Linked DNA regions of Alligator mississippiensis. The protein of the gene in region 3 interacts with the protein of the main gene of each other region in a pairwise test. Links are inferred from orthologs where the notes say so. Each region holds a gene or a part of one and is shown on either strand. Other genes may lie near its edges.

What was found.
Region 1: the proteins of RBPMS (region 3) and PIN1 interact in binary tests that used the Homo sapiens proteins (3 or more experiments, as listed by UniProt). The two-hybrid records come from large-scale screens. The link is inferred for Alligator mississippiensis from reciprocal best matches to the Homo sapiens genes RBPMS and PIN1.
Region 2: the proteins of RBPMS (region 3) and PER1 interact in a two-hybrid assay, tested with the Homo sapiens proteins (2 studies listed by BioGRID). The link is inferred for Alligator mississippiensis from reciprocal best matches to the Homo sapiens genes RBPMS and PER1.
Region 4: the proteins of RBPMS (region 3) and HEYL interact in binary tests that used the Homo sapiens proteins (3 or more experiments, as listed by UniProt). The two-hybrid records come from large-scale screens. The link is inferred for Alligator mississippiensis from reciprocal best matches to the Homo sapiens genes RBPMS and HEYL.

What each region holds. Positions count from the first base shown.
Region 1 is NC_081831.1:22,016,051-22,023,964, reverse strand, and holds the start of PIN1 (peptidyl-prolyl cis-trans isomerase NIMA-interacting 1), read right to left. Parts: upstream 3,010-7,914; 5' UTR 2,958-3,009; coding exon 2,900-2,957; intron 1,184-2,899; coding exon 983-1,183; intron 1-982. Other genes in the region: UBL5 (ubiquitin-like protein 5), read right to left, coding at 6,591-6,634, 7,188-7,225, 7,888-7,914. UniProt on the Homo sapiens protein: Peptidyl-prolyl cis/trans isomerase (PPIase) that binds to and isomerizes specific phosphorylated Ser/Thr-Pro (pSer/Thr-Pro) motifs.
Region 2 is NC_081838.1:25,070,086-25,077,594, reverse strand, and holds the start of PER1 (period circadian protein homolog 1), read right to left. Parts: upstream 3,014-7,509; 5' UTR 2,080-3,013; intron 1-2,079. Other genes in the region: VAMP2 (vesicle-associated membrane protein 2), read right to left, coding at 6,729-6,745, 7,163-7,214, 7,340-7,498. UniProt on the Homo sapiens protein: Transcriptional repressor which forms a core component of the circadian clock.
Region 3 is NC_081825.1:169,286,539-169,293,594, reverse strand, and holds the start of RBPMS (RNA-binding protein with multiple splicing), read left to right. Parts: upstream 1-4,037; 5' UTR 4,038-4,121; coding exon 4,122-4,184; intron 4,185-7,056.
Region 4 is NC_081829.1:4,798,436-4,805,397, forward strand, and holds the start of HEYL (hairy/enhancer-of-split related with YRPW motif-like protein), read left to right. Parts: upstream 1-3,943; 5' UTR 3,944-4,206; coding exon 4,207-4,286; intron 4,287-6,962. UniProt on the Homo sapiens protein: Downstream effector of Notch signaling which may be required for cardiovascular development. Transcriptional repressor which binds preferentially to the canonical E box sequence 5'-CACGTG-3'.

The DNA.
Region 1 (7,914 bases), on a different chromosome or scaffold from region 3:
TATCCTTTATTAGACCAACCCAAATGGTTGGAGAATAGTTATTAAGCAAGCTTTCGGGTTCAAAAACCTGACGAAGGGTTTTTGAACCCGAAAGCTTGCTTAATAACTATTCTCCAACCATTTGGGTTGGTCTAATAAAAGATATCAAATTCACCCAAGGAACCTTGTCTGCCTACAACTTCAAAGCACTTCACAGAATATTAACTCATTTTCATAACAAGTCAAGACTGACTGCTATAGATTGGAACACAGGCCATGGTGCAAAGTCAGGAGACTTTCACCACAGATCCTCTGACCCTTGCACCGAACTCAATGAAGAGTGCCAACAGTAAACCAGAATTAGAATTCTGCCCCACAAGGCCCAAATTCACTGATTAGGAAACAGGATAGTTAGAAACTATTGCTGGCGCTGCAAAGGAAGATGTATCTTGTGATGGGTCCCATATACAGCAGGAAAGGCATGCAATTCCCTCACTCCCAAGAAATTTACTTGTCCACAGATATTCAAGATGTTTATACCTGGGGTTCAGTCCCAGGCAGAGATTCATCAAAATTTACAGTAACTGCCACCAGGACAAACAGGCAAATAAATATTAAACAAAAAAAGGAAGATGTTTAAGGAGCACTTGTTTTAGCATCAAATAATTGCTTTATTTTTTAATATAAAAATATACATTTACAAAGAAAATACAAACAAGCCTCTGACAACATTACAAAAACATAAAGGGGGAAACTGGCATGAGGATGGAAGGGGGAGGGAGGGTTCTATTCCTAAGTCATTTAGTCATGATCAGCAAATCATGCAGCAAAAGTGTTTCTCCAAGTGGCTGTGCTACACGAAAGTCCATGTTCAAACCACTTGCCTCAAAAAACTTTTATTTAGAGAGTTCAGGCCAATAAGCCACTTATTTCTGTGCTCATTTTTGGCCTTAACATGACTTTCCCTCACAATAACATCAATCTGCCTCCTGCTTTTACTTGCCATTTATAAGCTCCAGTGCCTCATCTTTGGTCCGTGTGATCTTTTCCTGCCTCCATGATGAGGGCCTTCTGGACTGGTTGTGTTTCACCAAAAGATGTGAGCAGCGCACTTTGGCCGGCTCCCCCTGGCCATTTTTCCCACCTCCGCTGGGGCGCTCCCATTGGCTGGCATTCGTAATGTGGTTGAAGTAATACACACGGCCTAGAAACAAGAAGGAAAAGAAAACCAGGTCTTTAGAAGATCCACAGCAATAGCCTCTTGCTTATCGCAGCAGATAAATTCTGGATTTCTGCAGGTGGGTGAAAATGTGGATGTCAGCTCACTGCAGAATCAGTGCAGAGGCTGGGAATACTTAACATCCCCATAATAACAGGCTGTCTCAGCATTACAGATTTCAGTCTATTAGAACTCTCTACCAAGGTTTTCTAGTGAGAAACAAAGATGCCCTGAGCAAAGCAGCTGCTCTACTCAAAACCAGACTCTTGACACCATCTCCCTTTCCAAAGTTGGGCAAGTCACTTTTACTTCAGTGAAAGTGGGATCAGGGTCTATGTCAAAAACTCTTGAAACCTTCCCAAAACAGCAGCAGCTTAAGTGCTGGCTGGCTCATTTGTAAAGCACCGATTATTCTTATGGAAGCAGCAAGTGCCTGCAGCTTTCCTGAGTCACATGACACCAACACATCTTCAGAAGCAGCACAGCGACATAGTGGAACTCTGCCCATTTTACCCCTGCAGCGAAGGTGAACGGTGCCGAGTTTCTGACACAGGGGGATTGTGTTTCATTCCAATCCAGCTTGCAACTGAGAGCACAAAGCATGGCAAAAATCCCTATCTATTTAGACCGGGTTTTTGGTTGTAGCTGTGTTGGTCTAAGGTCATAGACAGGCAAGGTTTTTTGAGTAAATGTGGTATCTTTCATTAGACCCATTGAGTACTCAGTTGGTCTAATAAAAAACATCACATCTACTCAAAGAACCTTGCCTGCCTATGTATTTAGATACATTTAGGGGGTAACAGTATCCTAATAAACAGATCCTTCAGTTAACAGGGCACAGTTTTCAAAGCAGCAATCACCTCTAACTATGCTGGGTGTTACACAAACAAGGGACCCCTGACCCTGAACTGACCTTTGCAGGCTGGAAGTGAGGAAGACACTCCTCCAAAACAAATCAGCCCTTTCTTTATCAGGAAAGGGCAGGCTTTCCCAGAAGCAGCCAAGAGTTTGGGGACACTGCTCTGAGATCAAGACAGCTAAAGCAATGTCCCAGCACTGCTGGAGCACCAACTGTAAAGGGTCCCCAACCCGCAGGATGAGGTCCACTCATTCATGCACTGGCAGGAGCTCAGACTCTGACTAAACAAATTGTGAGCACCTCCGACATCCTAAGAGGTGCCAGCCCGGGTCCAGAGCTCTGGGGCACTGCAATCACTGGACGAAAACCCCGACAACGGCCGGGTCTCTGTACACCGGGAGGGGGGGCAGGAGCAAAAGGCAATTCTAGTCTCACGACAAAGGGGACAAACCTCTGCTTGGCCGGGGAGGGGCCTAGACCCGCCTGGGCTCCCGAGGGAGCTCCGGGATCAGCGCGCGTTTTCCAGAGCCGCCCCCCCGCCCCCACGACGCATATCCCTCCCCAGAACCTCTCCCCCTGCCGGCGCGGGGCAGCTCCCCGGCCCCTCCCCCCGCACGAGGCGAGGAAAGGAGCGAGGCACCGCGGGGTCGGGCCCTGCCGGGGCCACAAAGGACCCACCAAGCCCCATCAAGAGCAGAGCGGCGCGGCCCGGCCCCACAGCCCGGCCCCGCCCTCCCAAGCCCCGCAGGGGCCCGGCCCAGCCCGCCCCGGCCTCGCGGCCCCCCAGCCGCAGCGCCCGGCCCCGGCCCCGCGCGGCCGAACGCCCGACCGCGCCGCTGTACCTGAGCTGCGGCTCATGCGCTTCTCCCAGCCCGCAGGCAGCTTCTCCTCCTCCGCCATCTTCCCTGCGCGCGGCACCTCCTCCCAGCCTCTTCCCCGCTGCCGCACGCGCTGCCACCCATTGGCTAGAGGAAGGCCCCGGGGCAGGATGCTGCGAACGGCCATTGGCTCAGAGGGGATCGTGGTCCCACCTCCAGGTCGCTCATTGGTGGAGAACACACTCCCCTTCCCTCCCAGCCCTGATTGACTCGGAGCGCTAGGCCGCAATAATCTCGGAAGAGATTCAGGTTCTGGTAGCTCGAATGTCGACGGCGGCCGGGGAGGGACAAGGGGCGTTGCGGAACGCCTGAGGAGTGCCGGGGAGCCCTCGGGGCCTCAGTGCAGGCGGTGCCAGGTGCCCCGGTTCCCAGCCGGGGTCGGGGGTGCCTTAACCGCGGGAGCGCGCAGGGGCGCCCCCAGGAGGCTAATTGACCGTCCTTGCAAAATGCAAATGACCCAGAGCCACGGAGCAGGCGCTGGTGCTGTGCAGGCCGGGTGCCTCTCGCGGCCTGGGCTCTGGATACGGCCTGGACCCCATCGCCAAGCCGCCCAGGTTGGGCCGCGGCGAGACGCAGGCGAAGGCAGGGGAGATTTGCAGCAGTCAGAAGCAAGAGCAGGCTGCAGCAGGTGCTGCAAGGGGCCAGCCAGGCCTACGGGAGCAAAACGGGCTGTCCCGATGACTACCACTTACTAGCTCCTGCTGTTACTTAAACTAAGGTTCAAGTATGAAGGACCCTCTCCAGCCTGTCCTTCACTGTCTCTAGGAGAGCCGTGCAGGTCGGAAGGCCAGGGAGGTTTGCATCTTCCCCAGACTAAATGCACAGATGCAATCATAGGTGCACAAGCTTTGCTCAGCAAGAGATGAAGTTTATGGATTTTTGATTTAATCTATGAGGTGTAAAGTGCAAATGTACATGCCTTCTGATTCATTGTATTGATCAGGCTGGAGCCAACTGGCTGCTCCCTGTGGTGGGGGGAGCTGCAGAAATTTGCATTTTGATAGTTTCCCCTCTGAGTCGCTAGTAGCTCTGCACCTGCTGCCTTCCTAGTGACATGCACCTTTTCTAGCTAGATTCATAGATGTTAGTCGGAAGGGACTTCAATAGATCATCAAGTCTGACCTCCTGCATAAGCAGGAAAGAGTGCTGGGTCTAGATGACCCCAGCTAGATACTCATCTAACCTCCTCTTGAAGACCCCCAGGGTAGAGGAGAGCACCACCTCCCTTGGGAGCCCGTTCCAGACCTTGGCCACTCGAACTGTGAAGAAGTTCTTCCTAATGTCTAGTCTAAATCTGCTCTCTGCTAGCTTGTGGCCATTGTTTCTTGTAACCCCCGGGGGCGCCTTGGTGAATAAATCCTCACCTATTCCCTTCTGTGCCCCCGTGATGAACTTATAGGCAGCCACAAGGTCGCCTCTCAACCTTCTCTTGCGGAGGCTGAAAAGGTCCAGTTTCTCTAGTCTCTCCTCGTAGGACTTGGTCTGCAGGCCCTTGACCATACGAGTTGCCCTTCTCTGGACCCTCTCCAGGTTATCCACATCCTTCTTGAAGTGTGGCACCCAGAATTGCACGCAGTACTCCAACTGCAGTCTGACCAATGCCCGATAGAGGGGAAGTATCACCTCCCTGGACCTATTTGTCATGCATCTGCTGATGCACGATAAAGTGCCATTGGCTTTTCTGATGGCTTCGTCACACTGCCGGCTCATGTTCATCTTGGAGTCCACTAGGACTCCAAGATCCCTTTCCACCTCTGTGCCACCCAGCAGGTCATTCCCTAGGCTGTAGGTGTGCTGGACATTTTTCCTCCCTAGGTGCAGCACTTTGCATTTCTCCTTGTTGAACTGCATCCTGTTGTTTTCTGCCCACTTGTGCAACCTATCCAGGTCTGCCTGCAGCTGTTCCCTGCCCTCCGGTGTGTCCACTTCTCCCCATAGCTTTGTGTCATCTGCAAACTTGGACAGAGTACATTTCACTCCCTCGTCCAAGTCGCTGATGAAGACATTAAAGAGTATCGGTCCAAGGACCAAACCCTGCGGGACCCCACTGCCCACACCCTTCCAGGTCGAGACCGACCCATCCACCACGACTCTTTGGGTGCGACCCTCTAGCCAATTCGCCACCCACCAGACTGTGCAGTCATCCACATCACAGCCTCTTAACTTGTTCACCAGTATGGGGTGGGATACCGTATCGAAGCTATGACATTCCTTTTGGCAATTTTTCATAAGATACAAAAGTAAAAGCAGGTGTCCTGCCTCAATTCCAGTCCAGGCAGTTCCTAATTTCCCCCTGCAGTTTTAGGTACAAAATTCTCTGCTTCCTGTTCTAAGCCGTGATCCAATTGAACAAATGCTGCATGTCCACAGGAGGCTGCACTCATGTTGATCTCAGAAGAATACCTGAACTTCCTGCTTAACCCATCTCCAAAGTTAGGGTTGAGGAATATCATGATTAGGAAAGCTTGCCTCACTGGGCCTTCTGGTTAAAAGGACTCTGAAACAGTCCAAGACTCACTACTTTCACCAACAGGAAAATAAATTACTTAAAAGGCACCATAAACATCCATATTTGTCAGTGGAAAGCTTTAAATAAGAAAGAGAACAGCTGTTGTGAAGAGAGAGTCTCATTTAACATCCCTGCCTCTGTGCTTAGGCTGACTCAGAAATGCACAGAGAGGCTGCTTTCTCTCATTGGCCATTTAATTCTGGAAAACATCAAGACAAAATCATCTCCTGCTGCTGCCCTGAACTTCAATCTCAGCTGATTAAACATGCTTATTAACTGCAGGCAGCTGCTCTACTGCACGTGACACACATTACTGAGCAGCACAGAAATAAGCTCAGTAAAATGAAAGAGTGGGTTTGGGGGTCTGCACACACATTGAAATACTCCTTTTAAAGTGTTTTGTAATGGATTCCTCTCATTCATCCCAGTCTCACTCCCAATCTTGTTGCTTTGGCTGGGATCCCAAGGCAATTCACATCGATTGTGTTAAATGAGCAGTGCAGAGTGGGATTTTTTTTTGAAGTATCATTGAAAAACAATAGTGCGTAACACACAATGGTCAGCAGCTCCATTAGAGGCATGTAATGGGAACTGCTTTTTGCATTTGTCAGTCTAGATCATACCTTAACCACTGCACTGAAGTTTCTGTTGAGAATAAATTACCACTCCCCTCCCCTCCCCCAAAAAAACAAACAAAAACCCAGACTGCTTCTAAGTTGAATTAAATGCATTTGCTCTGGGTTTTCAATTCTCAACCAAAAATGAGTCTAGCCTAGGAGATGGCGATAGAGCAGCTTTCATGTTATTTCAGAAAGCTCAAGGCTGTCTTCTACTAGCTATGTTAATTAGGTTTGCTGTGGAAGTTACCAAGAAAGAGATTTTGTCTGCCTTAAAGCCATGAACAGGACACTGCAACTGTCAGGAAACATTTATTACAAACACAAATTTAAGAACATAAGCAATTTTGTTATATGTTTGCTGCCTGTGTTATTGCCAAAGCCAAATAGCTCTGACTAAACTATATGCACAGCTGGAGCTTTTCACTTGCACTTTACACTAAATAAGGAAATATATAGACATGTTTAATATTAGAAGGAAAGCAGAAAGTGTGCTGCCTGCCATATACAATTGCAGCTCAAGTCCAAACTACTGATAGTATAGCTCCAGGTTCATGCCATCATGGATTTCATCTGAAGAGTAAAAGTTAAGGGAATTCCCATGGAAATATATTTAAATACAAACAGAGGGTGTTAGATATGAACATCTGTCAGACCAACGATTCAAAAATCAACAACAGCAGGAAACTTCTTAGATAAGTGCACAAGTTCTCAGCAACATGATTCTTCTTATTCCATGTCACAACCTGGATAAACTGCTGGCCTCACAAAAAAGAGTCTGAGACTCATGTGCTGCTTGTAAGTGCTAATGTCTGAAGCAACAAACTGGGAAGTTAATCCAAAGGGTTTTTTGTGTTTGTACCAAGAGATTTCCTAAATAATCACCACTGTGCTACATGACTGACCCGTTACCATTAATCAGTGGCCAAGAACATAAACAAGACATCTCATTAGTGACAAGCAGCAATATCAGATAAGGAAGGGGTGCTGTCTGACTGTGTACATGCAATGTGTCTCTCTCTCAAGTACTTAGAGAGTGACACCTGTTTTCTAAAAGGTTTGCTTTAAAAGATGCTGATGTCTTTAAAATGCATTTTACCTAGACCACTCTGATGCTTAAGGATACAGTCTCCCAGTGAAACGTGATCCTTGAAAATGGTGTACCTGCAAGAGTTTGAAAGGAAGTTAAAACACCTAAGCTCGTTACAAGGTTCAATAAAAGGAAATGGAGCCAATAAAGGGACTACTGTTGTATTATCAATATTTCCCAATAGTAATTATTTAATAAAAAAAAAAGTGAGCAGTTGAGATATGAAGGCCAGAGTTTCATAAGCAAAATGTTTTCATAGCCAGCAATCATCAAACCCAAAAAGCATGGAAGGGAAGAGACACCCTAGGTGCTGTTACAAGACAAGAAGCCTTCATTTCACCTACAGGATAAATACAAAGAGCTCTAGTTCAGGGTATAGAAAGACTTCAATCCAATGTTTGCTAAAGGTTTTAACTGTATTTCAACTCCTGCTAACCCATCGTTTTTGTTTCAACTTCTAATAAAAAATCTCCCTCACAGCAACCCCCTCTTCCCCCAACATGTCACAGCCCACGGCCTTGATGGACACGCGCTTCTGGGGGAGCAGCTGCAGTCAGCACCACAAGGAAATGGTTACAGTTAAAGACTGGATCAAACCCGGGGCCCATCAAAAAACACCCAGGACTTGGGCAACCTCCCTGGGTAGGACAAAAGGAGGAACTTACCTGCTGGGGCCAAAGCTGGCAGCCGCCAGGAGCCCTTGGGCTGCCCAAACCTGACCCAGTCCCACACTCACCATTTCTTCAGCACGATCTTGTCCCAG
Region 2 (7,509 bases), on a different chromosome or scaffold from region 3:
CAGGGTCAGGGCAGGGGAAACTGAGGCTGGGAGAGGTGCCCGGCTGTTCCCCATGCGGTGCTTGTACATGGAGCAGGTCCCAGGATGGCCCAACAAGTCCCCACACGGTGGAGGGAGTCTGGCAGAGAACCCAGGAGTCCTGGCTCAAACCCCCTCAGCCCCCACCCCGCAGACCCCTCCCAGAAGAAAACCCAGGCGTCTTGACTCCCCTCCCTCCATGTCCACTTTAACACATGCAGCCAGAGAACCAGGCGTCCGGTCCCTCCTCATGGTGTGGCACGTGCAGCCCCTTGGCCCTAAGCCAGGTGGGCACCACGTGGCCAGGACCATCTGGATTGTGCCCCCCTCCCCCCACCCCAGCTCCCTAATTACCCTCGAGATGGCTATTCTGAGCGCAAAGCCGGGCTATTGTTAGCTCCCTGCACTGCCTGTGGGGCTCAGCCCTCTGCCCAGGGGTTGCCCCCCCACCCCTGTCCTGCTGCCAAGAGCTCCCTGCCCCCACCCTGCCCCTTTGACTGGCCTGGCCTGGGTCCTGCAGCCTGGGCGTGTGAAGCGAAGCAGGAAGGGGCTGGCAGGGTGCCGGGGACAGGAAAACCCTGGGGCAGCTTTTGCCAGGACCAGGAGGAGGAGGAAGAGGAGGATCGGTACCAGCACACACATGGGCATGGCCCTGCCAGTGTCTCTACAGACCGGGGGGGGCGGGGCCGGCCCTGCCAACAGTGTGCACAGGGACCCTACCCACGCACACGCACGCGGGGCCGTTGGAGAGACGTGACTCCAGGCCCGGGCACACAGAAAGACATAGGCTCGGAGACCGGAGGGGGCCCTGCAGGCACAGATGCCGAGACGGGGGGGCCTTACAGGGTCCCTGCCAAATCATATGCAGAGACCAGGGGGAGTCCTGCTGGCGCATACACAAAGACGGGGGGGCCCTGCCAGCAGAGACCTAGAGACCAGGGACCCTGCTGACATGCAGAGACGCTGGGGCGGGGGCCTGCTGGCACAAACACGAGAGACTGGGGGGCCTGTGCCAGGATGTACACAGAGATCAGAGGCCCTGCTGACATGCACACAGACACTGGGGGCCCCTGCCATCAGAGACCCAGAGACTGGGGGGCCCCTGCTGACATGCACACAGACAAGGGCGGGAGAGCCTGCTGACATGTACAAAGACACTGGGGACACCTGACAGGTACAGACACCGTGGGCCCCTGCTGACATGCACACAGATATAGGGGGGACCCTACTGACCCGTACACAGAGACTGGGGATCCCTGTCATGCACAGACACTGGGGCCCCCTACTGATGCATACACAGAAACCAGGGGCCCCTGCTGACACATACTCAAAGATCAGGGGCCCCTGCAGCACGTACACAAAGGGCAGAAGGCCCTGCTGATGCACACAGATGGGGTGGGGGAACCCTGCCAGTGTGTACACAGAGACCAAGACCCCTGCTGACATGGACGAAGACACTGGGGGGAGGGGGCCCTACCAATGTATACACAGAGAGTCCCAGCTGTCCACAAGCCGGGTGGGGGGGAGTTCCCTGCATGCAGCCAGACCCCAGGGACATGCCTCATGAAAGCCCATGCACATGCATCCACACCACTACACGCCCCCCGCTCACTCGCCAGCCAGCCCCAACCTGTGGCCAGGCTCTTGCTTCAGCACTAACCCCCCCCCACCCCCAACATGCGTGTGAGAAGCATGTACAAAGCAAGACAGGCATGAGAGGCAGAGGACAAGGCCACTAGCTTGGGTAGCACGGGGGGGGGGCACATCCTGCTGCTGGTGCCAACCTGGAAACCCCCCCGCAAAGTGACGGGCTCCTGCCCAGCAAGGCAGCAGAGCCCCCAAACTCAGCCAGCAGGACCTGAGCGTGCCCCAATCCCTTGGGCTGGGCGGCCGCCCCACCTCCCCACCTCCTCCCCCGCCCCAACCGCAGGCAGCAAACAGAGCAACGCGGAAGGCTGGGTCTGCGCCGAAAGAACATCCTGTACCCAGGAACAAACAGGCGTGTGTCATCCCCCGCCGCGGGCGCAAGGGGGGTGGTGCTGAGGCACCCGGGATACTCACGGGGTGCTCTCGGGGCTGGCCCAGAGGTTGGCGCTGCCTCTCCGGGGGTCACAGGGCTGGAGCAGTGTCCGCGGGGGGGGCCTGAGTGCACGGGGATGGAGATGATTCTTCGGGGGTCCCAGGTGGGCGGGATGTCCTCAGGGGTCCCGTCACACGGGGATGGTCCTTGGTGTCCTGGGGGCAGGGGGGTGTCCTCAGAGGTCCCAGGTGTGGGGCTGTGTCCCCAGGGGTCCGGTCACACAGAGATGGAGGTGGGGGTCCGGGATGCAGGTGTCCCCAGGGGCCTGTCACACGAGGCCGGAGCTGAGTCCTCAGCAGTCCCAGGTGCGGGGGTTTCCTCAGGGATCCCGTCACACAGGGATGGAGCCGATTCTTCGGGGGTCCCGGCTGTGAGGGGGTGTGTCCTGGGGGGTCCCGTCACACAGGGATGGAGCTGCGTCCTCGGGGGTCCTGGTCACATGGGAATGGAGCTGATTCTTTGGGGGTCCCAGGTGTGGAGGGAGTGGGTGTCCTCGGGGGCCCTGAGCGCGGGGCTGCCTCCTCAGGGGTCCCGGACACGTAGCACCAGCACGGTGCCCTGTTACAGGGCACCGGAGCAGGGTCCACAAGGCAGGCACGGTGTCCCCAGGTCCGGGGGCCTCAGCGGTGGATGGCCTCTGGCTCGGGGGCCGCGGCAGGGGCCGGGGGGCTCAGACGAGCGCGGGGGTGGCGGAGTCGGGGCCCGAGCGTCCTTGCGCCAAGGGAGCGACGGGTGCAGTGAGGCGAGCAGGCGGCGGGTGCGACGCTGGCCCCCGCGTTGTGTAACGCCAGGCTGATGTCAGCACCACTTACACAGGCCGCACGTGGACTGTGGTGCTGCCGCCCCAGGTCTCGGGGCCGCCCTCATTGGCTGAGCCGGCGGCCAATGGGAGAGGGGCAGGTTGCATAGCAATGAGCCCAGCGTCATTGAGGAAAGACGAGGGGGGGGGGGGTTGCTGCTGATGCCAGGCGTTGGCATGGCAGCGAGGGGGGGCTGCTGCTTCCGCTGGGTCCTCGCCCACCCCCCAGGTTGCACCCCCCCCCGCCCCGCTCTAACCACTCGGATGCACCCACCCCCCCCCAACCACTGGGTTGCACCCCCCCCGCTCTAACCACTGGGTGCACCCCCCCCCCCGGCTCTAACCACTGGGTGCACCCCCCCCGCTCTAACCACTGGGTGCACCCCCCCCCCCGGCTCTAACCACTGGGTGCACCCCCCCCCGGCTCTAAGCATTTGGCTGTACGCCTCCCCGGCTCTAAGCACTGGGCCCGGCCCCTCGCCGGGGCCCTGGTGCGCGGCCGAGCCTGGCTGGCGGCTGCGCGGGGCGGGGCGGGGCGGGGCGGCGGGCGGGCGGGCACGGCGCCAGGGCCTGTTCGCGCACCGCCGCTGCGGGTGCCAAGAACATCGTGTTCCCGGCGTGGCCGCGCCAACCGCAGCCGCTCCCTCCTGGCGCCCTGCCCCGCGTGCTAATTTGTTCCCGACCTGGGACGTGATCCCGATGTGGGACACGGGGTGTGGGGGGACATCAGGACCCCCAGCGCCCCACAGCCCCAGGGCTCACATAGGCCGGCACAGCGCAGGCCGAGGGGTCGCGCGGGCTGGCCCAGCGGAGGCGCGGGCGGGCGTCGTGCCCTGGCCGGCCCTGCCCTGCCCTGCCCCGCCGGCGGTGCCGGGACAGGGTGTCCCAGCCAGGGCTGGAACATCGGGGCGGGGCGGGGCGGGGGGCGGCACGTGGAAGGCCACGGCCCGCGCCCTCTGCCCTACTGTGTGCGCTGCTGCCGTGGGAACTGGACGCGCCACGTACAGCGCCGGGCGCTGAGCCCGCACCCCGGCCACGGCTCTCGGGAGGGAGCGCGGATGCCTGGGTTTTCGGCGGGGCTGGGACCCCGGACACCTGGGGGGCGGGGGGGGAAGAGCGATGACGTCAGAGCCGCCGGCCCCCTTGCCCCCCGGTGACGTAAGCGGGGCTCCCGGCACCGCCCCCCCTCCAGTCCAGGAACCCAGAGACCCACCCCCCACCGCCGGTTGGCCCCGCCCCCTCACGTGGAGCCCCGCCCCCCACTAGGTAAGGAGGCCCTGTCCCCTGGGAAATGAGGCCCACACGTGGCCCCGCTCAGTCCGAAGGTAGTAGCCCTGCCGTCATATGGAGCTTAGCTTCACCCCCTGCATCCCCCCGCGCCCTCATTGGCCGCCACCGCGCGCCGACCCCTCCCCCCTCGGCGCTCATTGGCCGAATCCCGGGGCGGCCGTTGGCTTCGCCCCCTTCGCCCCCATTGGCCGGTGCCGAGCAGCATGCAGGAGCTCGCGTGAGCAGGCCCCGCCTCAGCCCGCCGCCCATTGGCCCGGGCCCGCTGGGGCCCCGCCCCCGGCCGCCGATTGGCCCGCGGGGCAGGTGGTGGGGACACGTGCGGCCCTGCTCACGCGGCCACGAAGCAGGGGTGGAAACGGAAGCGGAAGCTGGGGGCGGAAGTGGCCCCTCGGGTGTCTAGGTTTGCGCGTGGCGGAGGCGGGCCGCACTCGAGAGCTCAGGCGTCCGCCCCCCCCCTCCCCCTAGCCCGGGCACCAGCTCCCCCGACGCGCACGATCCAGGTGTCCAGGCCTCATCACACCCCCTCCCCCCGCGCGACCTAGGCCCCCAACTCCAGGGACTCAGGAGTCCTGGCCCCGACTTCCTCCCCAGGGCAGGCAGCCAGGACCTCCCCCAACTGCCCTCCCCGCCCCCTCAGGCATCCAGGCCCCAGCCCCCCACTCCCCCAGGGGTCCCAACTCCCACCCACCAACCTGGACTGGGAACCCAGGTGTCCCAGCTCTCCCTGCCCGCTCCCCCCACCCCCAGCTCGCCAGGGTGAGAGTGGCTGGTCCACAGCCCTAGGTGGGGAGCCCAGACGCCTGAGTTCTCTGTGCCCTGGACCCTGCACTTCCATGGGTGTGTGAATCCCGGATGCTTGGGTTCAATGTGCAAGTGTATGTGTGTGACAGTCCCTGACACTTGGGTTCTGTGCATGTGAGAAGCCTTAACTCCTAGGTTCCACGTGCACGTGCGTGTGACTATTCCCGACGCCTGAGATCTGAGCACCAGCTTCCCCCCATGCGCAGGATCCAGCTGTCCAGGCCTCAGCACCAACCAACCAACCCCCCCCACCCCCGGACCTAGGCATCCGGTCACGCTGGGTTCTGGGTGTGCTTGCATGTGTGAATGCCAGCTGCCTGGGTTCTACGTATGAGAAGCCCAGAGGCCTGGATCCCATGTCTATGCTTGTACGCGCATGAGAGTCCCAGACGCCGGGGTTCTGTGTGCACAAAATCCCGCACACCTGGGTTCCATGTGAACGTGCGCAAGTCCCGCACACCTGCATTCCATGTATGCACATGTAAATCCTGGACACCTGGGAATCCTGGCTGCCTGGGTTCCGTGCGTGAGGGGCCCGGACGCCTGGGTTCCGTGCGTGAGGGGCCCGGACGCCTGGGTTCTCCAGGAGTTGAAGGGAGTCCAGATCAATTCAAAGGCTTCCCCCAAACCTAGGCAGAGGGCAGGGACCCCTTCCTGAGGCTGGAGCAGGCCCCAGCTGTAGTTGGAGGACAGTGATGGTGCTGCCAGGGTAGGCCCCAATGCTGCCACCTCTGGCTGAGGCAGCAGCATCCCCAGGTGGGCTGGACAGAGGGACCAGAGGCAGTGCTCTCCACAGGACACCAATTTATTGTACATTTTCACAGCATCACGTCGCTCCCGGCTCCTCCGCCCCTGCCTGCCTGCCTGCTGAGGGGGGCCCCAAGAGCAGGGGGGTGACAGTGACACCCACCCCCCTGCTGGGGGCCCAGCCCCCCTCTCCCCCTTTCCCTCCGCCTGCCCAGGGGGTCCCCAGTGCCACGTCCCTCCACGCAGCAGCGGCGGGGATGCCCCTGGGCTCAGCCCCCCCGGAGCGCGGGTCCAGCGAAGTCATCACAGGGACAAAGTCACGAGTCACATCTGACATCTGCTAGGGGGGGGGCACTCACCACCACAACACACGAAGGGGGGCAGGATTGGGGCACCCCCTGCTGGCCACCAGGGACCCTAGTGCCCCCTGACATTGGCCACCAAAGGATTAACAGGGGACCCCCCCAAGCCAGGCCAGCCCCCCAACACCGGGGGGGGGGGGTGGAATGTGACCCCTCTAAAAGGGGTAGTTTGGGCAGGCTAGATCTGTGTGGCAGGAAGAAAATGCCCCCATTAAGGGGGTGGGGTGCAGGGGGGGCTTCCCCCACGCCCCTTGGTCTAATCAGGAATGTCACAGAAGCTGGGGGGATGGGGAGGAGACCGCGGCCCGGCAGGAGATGCAGCCACCTCTGAGGTGGGACAAGGGGGGCAGTATCATGGAACCCCCTCCCCCACTAGGGGGGTGGCTGGGGGGGCGGGGCAATTAAAAGACAATTAAAAACACAGCAGGGGAGGGGAGGGACACCTAAAAACCTATTAATAAATCTACAAACGGACAAAATAGAGCAGCTCTATGTGTGTATAAATAACCCGGTATGTACAGACGGCCAGGGGGGGAGGGGGGGCGCGGAGGGGGCACACGCACACGCACGCACACGCACGAGGGCTGGAAGAGACGGCCGGGCCAGGCTGGGCCGGCACCACACGGGGCCTCTAGGTGCTGAAGTACACTGCAAGCAGAGGGCAGCCGTCAGCTCCACGGGGCAGGGCTGAGGTACATGCAGCTGGGTCTGGGGTGGGTCCTGGCTGAGTATAACAGGGCTGTGACCCAGGGTTGAGATGCAGCTGGCTCTGGGGCAAGTCATGGCTGAGTATGACAGCCCCTGACCCAGGGTTTGATGCAGCCGGCTCTGGGGTGGGTCCTGACTATGTATAAAAGGGCTGTGACTAAGGGTTGAGATGCAACTGGCTCTGGGGTGGGTCAGGCCGAGTATAACAGCCCCTGAGTCAAGGGTGAGATGCAGTCAGCTCTGAGGTGGGTCACAGCCAAGTATAACAGACCCTGGCCCAGGTCTGAGATGCAGCCAGCATTGGGGCCCCTGCCAGGGCTTCCTGGACCACCCCCCTCCTCCCCCAGCAGGACTCACCGATGATGATGATGAGGATGATGGCGCATATCACCCCCAGGATGATCATCATCTGCAGGAGAGAGACCGTGAGTGCAGCAGGAAGAAACGGGGCTGAGTCGGGAGTGAGGGGCACTGGCAGGGCTAGGGGGGCAGGGGGCTGCAAGTCAGGAGCGAGGGGCTGCAGCGGGGCCGTACCTTGAGGTTCTTCCACCAGTACTTGCGCTTGAGCTTGGCGGCGCTGGTCTCAAACTGGGAGGCGCCAGCCTGGAGAGCGTCCGCGCGGTCATCCAGCTCCGACAGCTTCTGGTCCCGCTCCAGCACTTTGTCCACGTTCACCCGCATGATGTCCACCACCTGCGGGGCCG
Region 3 (7,056 bases):
CTCCTTTGGTGATCACTGCCTCCCTTCATTACCTGCTTCTGCTTCTGTTGTGATCACCGTCTTCCTCTTCCTCCTCTCCCTTCCTCTCCCCCAGCTCCCTGAAGGTAGTCAGGGTCTCCAGGCTAGGTCTTCTCCAGTTTCAGTTTCCTCCTGCCCAACTGGTGGGCAGTGTGGCCAATGGAAATGTGGCAATGGGATGGTGCAGCCCACAGCTGCTCAGAAATTGGACAGCCCTGGATTAATGTATTCATTTTAAAGGCTCTCCCTATAGGGCAGGGATGGACAGAATGGTGGATCCAGCCAGGAACCAAACTCCATTTCCCAGCAACCCCTACTCATGTTGCTGTGGCCCGTTTCCATGAGACCACAGTAGTGGCGGTGCCGTGATAGTATGGGCACAGGGCAGGGCACATTAGGCAGGGACCTGATCCACGGCCGGGGCTGAGATCTGGCAGTGGTGAAAACATGGTCCAGAGGATCCGCTGCTTGCACACCACAGCTCTGGACCACACAGAGCCAGATAGTGGCTCTGCCCCAACTTCAGACCACTCCGTCAGTGCCGTGAGATTCCAGCCCTGGAGCAGCTCCTCGTCCAGCTGCACTCTCTGCCAGTGCTGCTGGAGCCAGTCTTCATGGAAACCCTGGCCATGCACTGTCACAGCACTGCCACTGCTGGGGTCTCCATGGAAACCGGACACAGCAATGTGGGCAGGGGCTGCTGGGAAATGGAGTTTGCCATGGGCCAGATCCAGCCCATGGGCTAGACTTTGCCCACCCCTGCTATAGGGCCCGACCCACTTACTTTAGTGGAAGAAATTAGTTTTTACTGCTTTGGACTTCTGTCCAAGCTGCAGAAACAACAGTTGATGGGGAAGGTGCTGGGTTTTGTGTTGGCTCATGTGTAAGCAGCAGAGCGAGTGGCCAAGATCCAACTGCAAGGGCAGATGCTGTGACTCTGACCCCTTATCCAGACATGGAGCTATTGGCACTTTTGTTTCCGCAATGATTTTCAGAAGGGTAAGACATAGCCCTAGGTGCCTATCCTGCAGTTTAATTACGAGTTCTTTTCTGTAACCAACATGTCCCGATAGCTATCTCAGTACACTCTGCTTCTTCTGTCAAGCATATCTGCTTTTATCTTTGCTTTTATCTGTACTTCTTACTTCTCAGATTTAAAATCCCAAATGCTGAACTTTGTCCTACACATCTGTGGTGTTCCTGACTTTCAGCACTCGCCAGAGTAGGGAAATATACGGCAAAAAAAATTGTTTTAGGTTTGTCCGTAATGTAAGCAAATTGACTTGTGTTGCTTCAAGGTCAAAGTGTAACCATTCAAGCAATTTAATCTGGGGGCATTTTCTAGATCACTAGCTAGTGTTCAGAAATGGCAAAAGACATTAAAGCACAGCTTGCTTTGTTGTATGCAGACCTAGAATACTGTACTTGCTTTAGAGGGCTGGTTATTACTGGCCTGTTAATGAGCTAGGCATTAAGGAGTCCAGTGGAAATGAAACACTGGTGGTGAGATTTTCCATTCCTAGGGCTGGTGGTTAGCAGCAGAAGGACAGGTCACACATTGCTGCGTATCCTGATGTGAACTGAATTAGGTTCAGAAAAAGGTTTTGCCCTTGAAACAATCTCCTTGGTTCCTTTATTTATCTATTTGTTAATGGGAACAGCACAAAGGCATGGGAGGAAATCCATACCCACAATTTCGGGGATCATAGGGGTAGTTTGTTGCCAGTCTGGTATGCAGAGGTTAATTAGTGGGCGTGTTTACACAAGACGCTTACTGTGAGGTAGCCTAATAACACCGAGCAGTAGTATGCCGGTTAAAAACCATGCTAATGAGGTACATACTGCACAGTGTTATTAGGCTACTATGCAGTAACCATCACAAAAAAACCATGTGCCAGCACTACCGCACAGTAGCTGTAGTTACTGCACATTTAGTTAGTACTTCATTAAGGAAGTACTAAACTAAATGGTCAGTAACTACTGAGCATCGATGAATGTGTAGATGCTCCCAATGGCCAGTACTGAATAGGTGCTTTAGCTGGGAAAGACAAGTTCACAGGATAAAAGTTTCTTGATTTGAAAGCCTCCTTTTTGTCTCTCCTGCAGGGGGTGCTTGGCCACAAACAGCTGCTAGTGTGCTTTAGTCATCTCAGTCAAATCCAGTGGGTCTCTGTTGGCCTTGCCACTGTGCAAATGATACCAAAAAGTGCCAGAGAAGCCAGATCCCCAGGGATGAAAGGGAATGTGTCAGAGCAGGTACAGCCCCCCTCCATCTGGCATCCGAGCTCCTGCTGTTTAGCAGTGGAGCCATTTGTCATGTCTGTCTCTTCCTATTCTGATGGCAGCCAGCTCTGCAGGGTGACGTTGTCTCTGCTGGCTCACTCTTAATCTCCCAGAGTCTAGCCCAGTTCTACCTCACCCATTTCAGTGAAGCATCTCTTATGGCTCCAGAGAATTGGAAGGACTCCCTCTCTCACACTGCCAGTGGAGCAGTGGGGGACATCCTGGTCTCTCCTCTGTCCCACAGGCTGTGCAGCCACCTCTTCTCTGGGTTTGCTCCCTGCTCAGTGGGATGAGTAGACAGCAGGTGGAGCCTGCATGCAATGAGGGTACCTGTTGTATTGTGAAGCTGATGTGGGAATGAACCTGGATACAGGTAGAGAAAATGTCTTAACCCAGGAAGTAGACCTGTACAGAGGCTACGTCCTCTATACAGAATTGGCTGCAGTGGCAGAGCGCCAGAGAGTAACACAGGTGTTTCCACCTGGAATGCAGCTTTCTGAAGACAGCTGGCTTGGAGCCAGGTACTTGTACACCAATGTCTTGCTTGATATTTTTTTTCCTTTGAGAAAACTATATTAAAGCTAACATTTGATTTAAATTAATTCCCCCCTCAGTTGCTCCAGACACCCCCATCAAATCCTTTTGCAACTGCCTGCTGTGGGTAGCAATTCTGGGATGTTACCTTTTGTATAGCAGGCTTGGTTCAGCTTTGATTTTCTAGATCTGAAGCCCAGCAGGGCATACTGTGGCAGATCCTCTTAGTCTGGTCTCTTGTAACAAAGGCCAAAGCATGCCCCAGGAATCCTGCTGGAGCCCACGGTTTCTGTTTGGGCCAGAGTGCATGTGCCTGCAAGAGACACCCAAACTGGCCTGAAAGGTTTTCTATCTCAGGGAGCTCACCATGTTCCCAGGTGGGTTGTTCCCCAGGTAGGTTAGTCACCCCTGGCACCTTTCCACACTTTATTTCCAGCTTCCTTTCACCCACCTTCAGCTGCAAGCTGGTGGGTCACACCTCCTTGGCTCCAGTGCTTCACTCAAGGGAAAGCGTCATTTCAACACAGAAAGGAGAGAGGCTTGGGGCTGAAAGTGGGGCAGCAGGGCATGGGGGAGGGGCGGGATACTTTAGAAAAGGGACTTTTAAAAAATTAAAATATATATACATATACATACATACATACACATATATACATATCCTCTATCATAAGCTTTCCATCACACATCTTAAAGCCACATTAAGACACCCGCACTTCCCGTTACAATAAACGCACCCAATCCCCTGCGCACCCACCCTCCACCCTCACCTACCCCAATCGCAGTCCTTTAGTCCAGGCACCGATTTGAGGTTTATATTCTCAGTTCATTCACTGTCGCTGTCGCTTCCGCTGCTGCGGATCCTGTTGCAGCCCTCCGCGCTGCCTCCAGGTCCAGTTGCATCTCTGTCCTCTTGGCTCTCCCTGCCCGCTTCCCCTCCCGGTGCGGGGGTCTTTGAACAACCAGCGCCAGGTGTCGCTTTTCCACATGAAGTTGGCTGAAAGGGACGGGGCGGCCCGGGTATCCGTCCCTCCGCGCCGTGCCCGCCGCAAGCAGCGCGGGGGTCCGGCCCCCTCGGCGGACAGGCTTGCCCGCCCAGGCGGCGCGGCGGAGACGCCCCGGCTCCAAGCCCCGCCCCGCCCCAGCCCCTGCCTGGTGGGGGCCGCGGGGCGGCTGTGGACGCCGCCCCGACGGGGGGCCCCGTGCGTGCCGCCCCTTCCCGCCCCGCCCGGCCCGCGGGCTCATTTCAGCACCGCCCGCCGCAGCCCGGCTCCAGCCAGCGCCGGACCATGAGCAGCCTGCCCGCCGACAGGGACGGCGGCGCCGCCGACGCCAGCCCGCCCGAGGAGGAGGTACCTGCCGCGGGGCGTGGGCGCGGCCGGGGCTGGGGCGCCTTCTGGGCGCGGGGCAGGGCCGAGGAGCGGCCCTTGGCCCGGCTCAGCCCCGGGCAGCCTGGCCCCGCGGCCCTGCCGCGCCGCCACTTCGAAAGCGCCGCCCTTCCGCGGGGGCAGGGGAAGGCAGGACAGGAGAAGCCTCTCCTTGCCTTTAGCCCGTGACATTCTTATTCGGGGAACGTGGCATCCAGATTCGCCTACCTAATTTGTCGTTTGGTTTTCTTAAAATCCCGGTATTGGTATAGCACAGGCTGGGGACCCTGAAGAAGTCCTAAGGATCTCTCAGGCCCCCCTCGGCTCTGTTGCTGCTTGGACCCAGACCTGGGCTGGTGGGTTGGGAGAGAAGTGCAACTTCTCAGACCCGTTTGCGGTTCTTGAAAGGTGGCTTGTTTCCGGGGTCTGAAGACCACTCCGTTGCAGGCGAGGCCAGGAAATCTGTGTGCAGCACGATTCTGCTTAGCCAGTCAAATAACCAGTACCTCCCTTCTCCCCCATTTTTTGGTGATGTCCAGATACACAGTGCAGTGCCCTGGGCTTACAAGAGTCCTAGGAACTGGTATCGTTCTCATGTCCCGCACACTACTAGGTTTCCTGCACATGAATGTATGTGTCTGGCACCCCCTGTGCTGTGAGTGAGATTTCACAGCACAGGAAAAGCATATCAGTGTTATTAGTGTTTAGGCTGGAGGAACTGCCCTCTGGGGAGCAGCTGTGTCTTTGGGGGTCAGCTCAGGGCTGCATGTGGTGACATTGATCTCCCCCAACTCTGCAGGAAAGCTTGGAGGATTGAGGTTTTCTGGTTTGTCATTTCATCCGGGTGGGTGCTCACCAGTTTAAGGAAAAGCAATTGGGTCATTTTGGAACTGGCTCAGCAGCAATGCCTGTAGGCATGCCCATGAATGCCACATGGCCCCAGTGGCTGGAGGGGCACGGCAAGCTCCAGCAGGCAGCAGCAGCGTTGGCAGCAGTGGTAAGCGTGGAGATCCCACAGGCAACTGCGGTGCTGGTGGCAGTGATGGGGTGGTGGTGAGCATTGAGCAGCGGTCAGTGACCACCTGCAGACGTCCATGATCACTGCTGGTGGCGGCCAGTGGTGATCGTGGACCTCCCTCAGAGGCCGCCAGTGGTGTTGGTGGATTCATAGATTCACAGATGTTAGGGTCAGAAGGGACCTCAATAGATCATCAAGTCCAACCCCCTGCATAGGCAGGAAAGAGTGCTGGGTCTAGATGACCCCAGCTAGATACTCATCTAACCTCCTCTTGAAGACCCCCAGGGTAGGGGAGAGCACCACCTCCCTTGGGAGCCCGTTCCAGACCTTGGCCACTCAAACTGTGAAGAAGTTCTTCCTAATGTCCAGTCTAAATCTGCTCTCTGCTAGCTTGTGGCCATTGTTTCTTGTAACCCCTGGGGGCGCCTTGGTGAATAAATACTCACCAATTCCCTTCTGCGCCCCCATGATGAACTTATAGGCAGCCACAAGGACGCCTCTCAACCTTCTCTTGCGGAGGCTGAAAAGGTCCAGTTTCTCTAGTCTCTCCTCGTAGGGCTTGGTCTGCAGGCCCTTGACCATACGAGTTGCCCTTCTCTGGACCTTCTCCAGGTTATCCGCATCCTTCTTGAAGTGTGGCGCCCAGAATTGCACGCAGTACTCCAACTGCAGTCTGACCAGCGCCCTATAGAGGGGAAGTATCACCTCCCTGGACCTATTCGTCATGCATCTGCTGATGCACGATAAAGTGCCATTGGCTTTTCTGATGGCTTTGTGTCACTGCTGACTCATGTTCATCTTGGAGTCCACTAGGACTCCAAGATCCCTTTCCACCTCTGTGCCACCCAGCAGGTCATTCCCTAGGCTGTAGGTGTGCTGGACATTTTTCCTCCCTAGGTGCAGCACTTTGCATTTCTCCTTGTTGAACTGCATCCTGTTGTTTTCTGCCCACTTGTCCAACCTATCCAGGTCTGCCTGCAGCTGTTCCCTGCCCTCCGGCGTGTCCACTTCTCCCCATAGCTTTGTGTCATCTGCAAACTTGGACAGTGTACATTTCACTCCCTCGTCCAAGTCACTGATGAAGACATTAAAGAGTATCGGTCCAAGGACCGAGCCCTGGGGGACCCCACTGCCCACACCCTTCCAGGTCGAAACCGACCCATCCACCACGACTCTCTGGGTGCGACCCTCTAGCCAATTCGCCACCCACCGGACTGTGTAGTCATCCACGTCACAGCCTCTTAACTTGTTCACCAGTATGGGGTGGGATACCGTATCGAAGGCCTGGATGGAGGGGGGTGTCAAGCAGCGACCGCCCACAGGCACCACCAGCAGTGTCAGCGGTTGCCTTTTTGTAGGGGGTGCACCGCCACGCTCGGGGGGTGCACGTGCACCCGCATACGCATCACATGCCTATACACGTGGGCATGTCTATACACGTGTACACATGTCCACATGTGCTACTGGTGCATCTCCAGGGAAGGCACAGTCTTACCAAAGTACTTGAATATTCACATTTAGCATAATCTTATTATGGGGATTCACAAGTCTCTTCCTAGAGCAGTGGTCTCCAACCTTTTTATGGTGAAGATCACTTTTTGGCATCCCAGGATCTATTGCACCCCCCTGCCTACCCTGCCCTGCTCCTAGCTTCCATCAGTTCACTGGAAAATTCCAGGTCCAGGTCCTTTTCCTGGTGTGGCAGTCTGTACTAAATGCCTACCATCAAGTCCCCTTCTCCTCCATATCTTTACCCACAGGGTCTCAAGTCGCCCTTCTCCTGAACCAATCTGGGACTCCAAGGAAGCATACTGCTCCTTTTATATAGAGAGCACACCT
Region 4 (6,962 bases), on a different chromosome or scaffold from region 3:
CAGCCATGTCATCTGTCCAGGCCCTAGGACAGTGCTGGGTACAATAGCAACACTTGAAGTAGAGAGCTTGTAAGAAGTGTTGCATGAGATTGAAGAGCACTTCGGAAGGAGGAGGTCCTCAAAAGGCTGTGGGGTAGCTGCTCCGCTATTTGGACACAGCATTATGTGAATGGGGATCTGCCTGGTGACAGGAACAAGGAAGGAAATGGCCCTGGGGACTGAGGTTTTCATCTGGCAGGCTGCTGGGAGCTGTGGCTACTTCCCGTTTCGGTCAGTGCATTGAGTCCCGTTTGATATCTTCGTGTCCTGAGAGCTGTGTAATTACAAAGCCCCTGTCAGCCTGCCAGGGCAGCTCTGCTCAGCTGCAATCTATAATCCTCCTTCTGAACTGTGTGAAGCATCCTCTCTCAAATCCAGTCATTAGTCTTCTGTCAGACAAACTGGGAACCTCAAGAGAGATTTCTTCAGAATAACCCCACTGCAGCCAAAGCTGCGGCAGCGACAGGCCCCTATAGTTATGTCAAAATGACAATCAGCTTTGGGCAGAGGTTGGTCATGAACTTTTCATGGCTTACTGGGCCCCTGATACCATGAAAACAAAATCAAAAAAATCAACTGCTTCTGCACTACGCCTTTAGCCCACGGGCAGGGAACACTGTAAGAACCCAGATGTCTGCTCTCTGAGCCTGGATGAGAGTCTCCTGCAGCCCAGCTCCAAACAGCCCCAGAAGGGGCATCCGGATATGTGAGCTCACAGCCCATCTCCCACTTCTCTGCGTGCCATTCCTGGGTCACGTACGCGCACATTTGCACGCGCTCCCTCCCCAGACAAAATGAACGACGGCTACTCAAGCCTTTGCCTCCCTGTCACGCAGCTAATTCCCTTTAATCCTCCCCTGCAGTCTCTGCAGAAGTGACCTGCGAGTGGGCTCAGTGCTGTGCCTGTTTCTGCCGCTCTAACGTGCAGCTAATCCTGGGGTGGCTGGGATCACACTAACAATCCCCCAAGCTTGACCAGGAGCGCTTCTAAATTGCTCTCCAGGAGCACAGGCAGCAATATGGATCCGATTACAGGAGAAGTGGGCTGCCTGGCCTCTGCTCTGTTCATAATGAAGAGTAATCCTAGAAAAACATGTTGCCAATTATGCTTCAATTGAACCCAGATAGCGACGCTTAGTGAAAGCCCAAAAAGGAATGAATTTAGATGGTGAATTCCTTTCTCATGAAGAAGGAGGTCTCTCCACGGCTGGCTCACGCTCTGTTTGTGGCTGGACGGGATGAGGGCTGGTGCTGGAATAACTCCGCTCCATCCCATGGAAATAGAAAGCAGGCCTTGGGAGACATTCCTCTGGCTATGCTGGGATGACTAACTACTGGATCTCCGCGGAGAAGAGAGTAGCGGAGGTCGCTCTCAAAGTAATAACACGACGCTCATCCTAGGGATGAGGTGTGCATCGTGATTGAAAAGATATATGTATCTTATTTAGTTAGTCTGTAAAGATGCACGTCGCCCCTGCCTTCTGGCTGACTTCAGACTAAGACAAGCCGTCCAGCCAGTGGTCCCTACCATTCATTTGGACCTGGCCTCTTTCCTCCGCAACAGCAAAGCCATGCCGATTAGCTCAAAGAGATGCCACGAAGTCTCTGTGTAGCAGCAAACCTTCCCTCGCCCTCGTTTTATTGTCACCCTGCGTTAAAGGGTTTTACAAATGTCTTGTGCCTACCCATTTACTATTGCTATTATAAGCCCAACTGCAGAGGGAGGAAGAATGGATAACAGATGCATTGAGAAGGCAGGGTAGACTTGCACCTTATGCACTAACCCGAGCGAGTGTGTGTGCGTGTGCACACGTGTGTGGATCTATACGTACCTACATCTAAAGTAAGCTTCAGCTCATGAAAGCTTGTGCTAGGTATATATTGACTTTGGTTAGACTAGCAGGTACAAATCCTACCCTGTCTTCTACTTGGCTTCAGACGAACACAGCCAACTACATCTCTCATTTAGAAGCCCCATAAAAGAGCTTGTCTATAAATCCTAAGACACTATATTTAAAGTTTGGTGCCCTGTGGCCTCTCAAGTCTAGTCTCAGCCTCCTTGTTCTGCTAGATAGTGAGGAATCCCAGCTTCTCTCCATTGGAACAAAGCCCTGGTTCTTTTGCTCATTCATCAAAGCCAAGCTTTTTCCCAGGGAAGGTGTGGTTTGAAGGAATATTTGACTCCAAATTTCTTTCAAAAAGGATTAAAGGTTTACACATTCTGGCTCAAAATGACTTTTTATGTTGAAATATAAGTTAATGATGGCACTTTTTAAAAAAAGTCCAAGAAGAGACATTTCAGAAATAAAAATTGGGTTGATTTTTTTTTCCTTTCCCCTAAATGTTTGGCTCATGAAAATTTTTGAGGTTTCAGTTTTTGTATCCTTCTGTGGGAACGGAGTTTTATTTTGACCATTGCAAAAACCATCACAGAATGGAAAAACCATTTCCTACTCAGCTCTACCGAATGTTGCATTGATCAGAGGGGCAGGATACGTAAGTGGAGGGGAAATGCCCTATTTGTCGGGGGGTGGAAAGTAGCAATGTGCTGGCAGATTGTTTTGCCTGAATTGCAACTGGCTGAAAAGCAGTTTATGGACTGGAAATGTTAGAGGTCCTGGCAGAATCAGTGATCAGAGTGCAGGCCATGGAGCCAAAGATAGATGGAGAAAAGGAATTCATCACCTGGCTCCGTGATTTCTCACAGGAGAGAATAGACCATGGTTTGTCATGCGGGCTGTGTTGGCATGAGCTGTGCGCAGCTGTTTTCATCACATATGATGAGCCACTCGTGAAGAGTCTGTGCAAAGGGCACTGGAAAAGGAAAAGCTTTTGTACCCACACACTGGGGTGTATGTCTCATTGTTGGTCATGTTTTCAACCTGTATGGCAATATTTTTCTGTTATAAACCTCCTTTTCATTAGCAAACACACAGCAGCTGGTTGGGGATTGTTATAGTTGGTCAGGATCCTCAGGAGCAGAGGCTCAGACCCTCAAAGGTGTAGGTGCCTAATTCCCACTGAAATGGGTGGCATTTGGGCACCCAAGTAAAATTACTGTCACGTGCCTTTGGGCTGCACCCAGGTGTTTTCTGAGGTCACTGAATGAGCCAGAAAATGGGAAATGTGCATGGATGTTAAAATAGCCACGCTTTAAACAAACACCTTCAAATGTGGCTGCATCTAAAAGGGACTTATTTGGTAGCTGTGTTGGTCTGAGACGAAAAGAAATGCAAAAATCTAGCGCTCTTGGTTCAGAGATGAGACCTTTTAAGGCGTTGTCTCTGGACCAAGAGTTCTTGATTTTTGCATTTCTTTTTCACTGCATCTAAAACGCACCGGCAGCCCCCTGACGACGAGCAGGGTCTGGCGCTTACAACGCTGTGCAAAGGGAAACCACCGTCCCGGAGGGCAGATGCCACAGCGGCTTGGACAGGAGCTGACTTGGCCTGGTCCGTGCAGTACACCCGAGCTGACCTGCAGCTCGCTGGGGTGAAGGCCAGGACCGCCTGATCCCCCAAAGACAGCCCTGGGCATCTGCAAGCGTTCAGCTGGCCTGTGCCCTCCTTCCCCTTGGCCTCTGCCCATTGACTAATCCCAGTCAATGGCCCTTTGAAAACGCTTTCTCAAACAGTCAAGAGCAGCAGCTAAGCTGGTTTCCATCTGAATCATAAGTCGGCGCAGCGGCGCTGGAGCGCCCAGCAGACATGTGTGTGTGCGTGTGGGGCTGGATGTTGATTTTAGCCTGAAACAACTCCAGGCTTTATCAGGCCCATCTCTTTCCCACGGTTTTCTGTTGCCAGTGAGGTCACTGGTCCCTTTAAACCGCTGCTGAGACCAATCACCAGGCGGGGGTGGGCGAGGGGAGAGGGGGACAGGAGACAGTTCACACAGCCTGCTCCTTTTACAGGAAGACTTTGGGCTTGCAACCAGCCTGGGGGGAGGGATGAGAACCTGGGAAAGCCGGAGCCGCCGAGTAATCCGTCACTCCTGGGAGATGTCTCATTAACCCATTAACCAGGGAGGTTAAAGACGTGCTGAGCAGGGAGAGGGGGTGGGCAGGGAAGCAGGGGAGGCGGCGGCGGCGGCTCTGCCCAGCGCAGCGCAGCGCAGCGCAGCGCAGCGCTCGCCTCTCCCGCGGCCGGGCTCAGCCGGGAGCGCCCCAGGATGAAGCGGCTGGGCGAGGAGAGCTCGTCGGACACCGAGTCGGACGGCACCATCGATGTGGGCAGGGAGGAGGAGTACAGGTGGGCCGGGGCCGGGGCCGGGCCGGGGGAGAGGGGCCGCTCTGCCACTGCCGCGCGGGGCGCGCCTTGCCCGCGTCCCCTTGCCCCCCGCTCGCCGCACCCCAGCCCCGCGGCGACACCAGGGGATCGGCCCCCGGGGGGGTCCAGCGCCTCTGTCCGGGCTGCCGGATGCGTGCGCAGGGACCCCCAGGCTCTCCATCTGCAGAGGTCACAACCCCGAGGCCGATCCCTTTTATCAGACCCGCTAAGAAATGGCAAAAAAATATAACACCGCAACAACCACAAACAATTCTCTTTTCTCCGCAAGGTTTCAGGCTTGCGTGAGCCGGCGGAGATCTGTTTGCGGTTCCTTAGTGGGTCTGATGAAAGGGATCAGCTCAGAACCAAGGAGAATAGAGTTTTTTGCATTTCTTTTTTGGCTCGGGCCAGCACGGCTACCCAGCGCGTGCGTCCCTGAAACGACCCCAGGGCTGCATTGATGGAAGAGCAAAAATTGCCCCTAAGGGAGCGGGGTGCAGGACGGCACGGGGAGTGCCCGCTGCCAGGACTCCCCCAGGGACTTTGGGCCAGTCTGGCTCTCTGCTGTACAGGGAGCCCCGGCTGTGAGGTGTCATTTGTTCCTGCCCAAGATGATCTCGGGAGGTCCCTTCCAGCTCCTAACATCTATGAATATTTACAGCTGTGCTTCTCCCGCTGGGTGCCTCGAAGGCCTTCAGGGTGCTGCGGGCTGCCACGCCGCGTTGGCACGGTGGGGTGCGCAACCGCGACGGGCAAGATTAAACGCAGGATTTGAAACGGGGATCAAGAGCTCCCTGCCCCGCTGTGGTCTCTCTGTTCTTTGCAACAGAAGAGCTGCTCTGTTATTTTTCCGTAGGCAAAAAAAGAGTGAAAACCGAGAGTTGGCCTTCTCCGAGGGGGCCTCGAGCCTAACGAGGTTGAGAACCACTGGTTTACAGAGTGGTCGGGGGGCCTGGAGGGGGGAGAGATGTGACTACACATGTACAAAGTGTTGTCTCTCTTCATTAAATAGCCACCAGAACAATATTAGGAAGCCTGACCAGAAGAAATGCATGCATCCTAACCCTCCAAAAACTCAGCCTAATTCTCCATAAATCATTCACATTTATCAGTGCTAATGAAACCTTTTAGAAAGAAGTCGAGTCTGGCAAAGCAGGGTCTAGGATTGCAGTTCATAAATCTGCATTGCATTCAAGCAGTACGGGGGGGTCTGCTTCGCTGTGAATGGAGTTTCACTGCATTTGCCTTTGCGGTGAGTTAGTTCTGCTCGTGAGGCACAAGGCGCGCTATGCCATGTATATACATAGCACCTTGCGCTGTCCGTATTGGGCACGTGCTGTCATGCAGGTTTATAAATGATATATCGACTGTGTTTTGGATAAGCGTAATCCTGCTTCAAGCAGGGGGTAGATTCTGACCTCTGGAGGCCCCTTCCAGACCAACTTCTCTGTGAGTCTGTGAGATGCTGAGATGAATGTAGGCGTTGACACACAAATGCAGCAAATCCATATGCAGAAATCACACCTAGCAGATGCTCAAACAGCATAAAGACAACAGGGGTGTGAGACACTATTCAGTAGAAAGATGGGTTATCGTGTATAAGAAAAATATTGTGGGAACACTTGGCACGTGCCTAACAAAAATGTATTTTTAATGGACCAAGCTTGGGCTGTCTTTTGGCCTGCTGTGCAGAGGACGCTGTGCCTGTAGAAACTTTTTGAAGTGTGAAAATGCTTTGCCAAACTGAAAAATACTTCACTTTGGTAGAGTGAGCTTATCACCCTCTTCCCAGACTTGTATTTCTTGCTTGCTGTTCAAGCGCCCCGGGAGTTTTGTGCTTGGATTTTAGCATCCTCGCTCCTGATTTCCCAAGCGATGGAAATAGGCTGGCAGAGCACTGTTGTTCTGGGAACTGAGGAGCTGTGGTGGAAAGATGAACCACCTCTAGCTGCCCAGGACCATGGAAGATCATTCAAGCGGAGGGTTTGTGTAGCTGTCCTGTCAAATGTACCGCGTCCAGGAGGTTTTACTGTGTCTTCCCAGCTGGCTGCCATTACAAAGGATATCCCTCCTTTGCAATCCAAACGTGCCCACAGTGTCCTTATCCTACTCTTTTTATCACGCATTGTACAAGAGATACTCAGCACGGTGACACTAGGTTGATAGACTACGTTGCTTATACCAGAAAAACTCGATCTGACCTCTTTCTCTCATCTTTACCTGCTCTGTCTTGCTTCCTGCACTGTTACTATGGGTCTTTTGTCTCCTCCTTGGATCTCAGACACAGAAAAATGTGAAGGTCACCCTCCCTCCGTTTTTCCCATTGTAACTGTCTTTTCCTTGAGCCCCTGCATTGCAGCCTGGGACTCGCTGGTGGTGACAGAACAGTGCCCTCAAGGGATGTTCAGCAGCAGGCAGTGGTCGCCGCTGGGAAATGTTGCCTCCCATCCCACCTGCTCCCCCAGAGCTGAGTGGCACCTTTGTAGGGCTATAACACCTCTTCTTTTGGGGAATAACTGGTTTGATTAGTTTCAAAGTTTACTCTTCTGCTGTTTCCCTTAATCGAGGATACTGTCCTGCGCAACCCAGTCACTGTGGGTCTATCGCATGGCAGGAGAAACAAGCCTGCAGCTCCCAGAGGCATCCTCAGTAAAATAA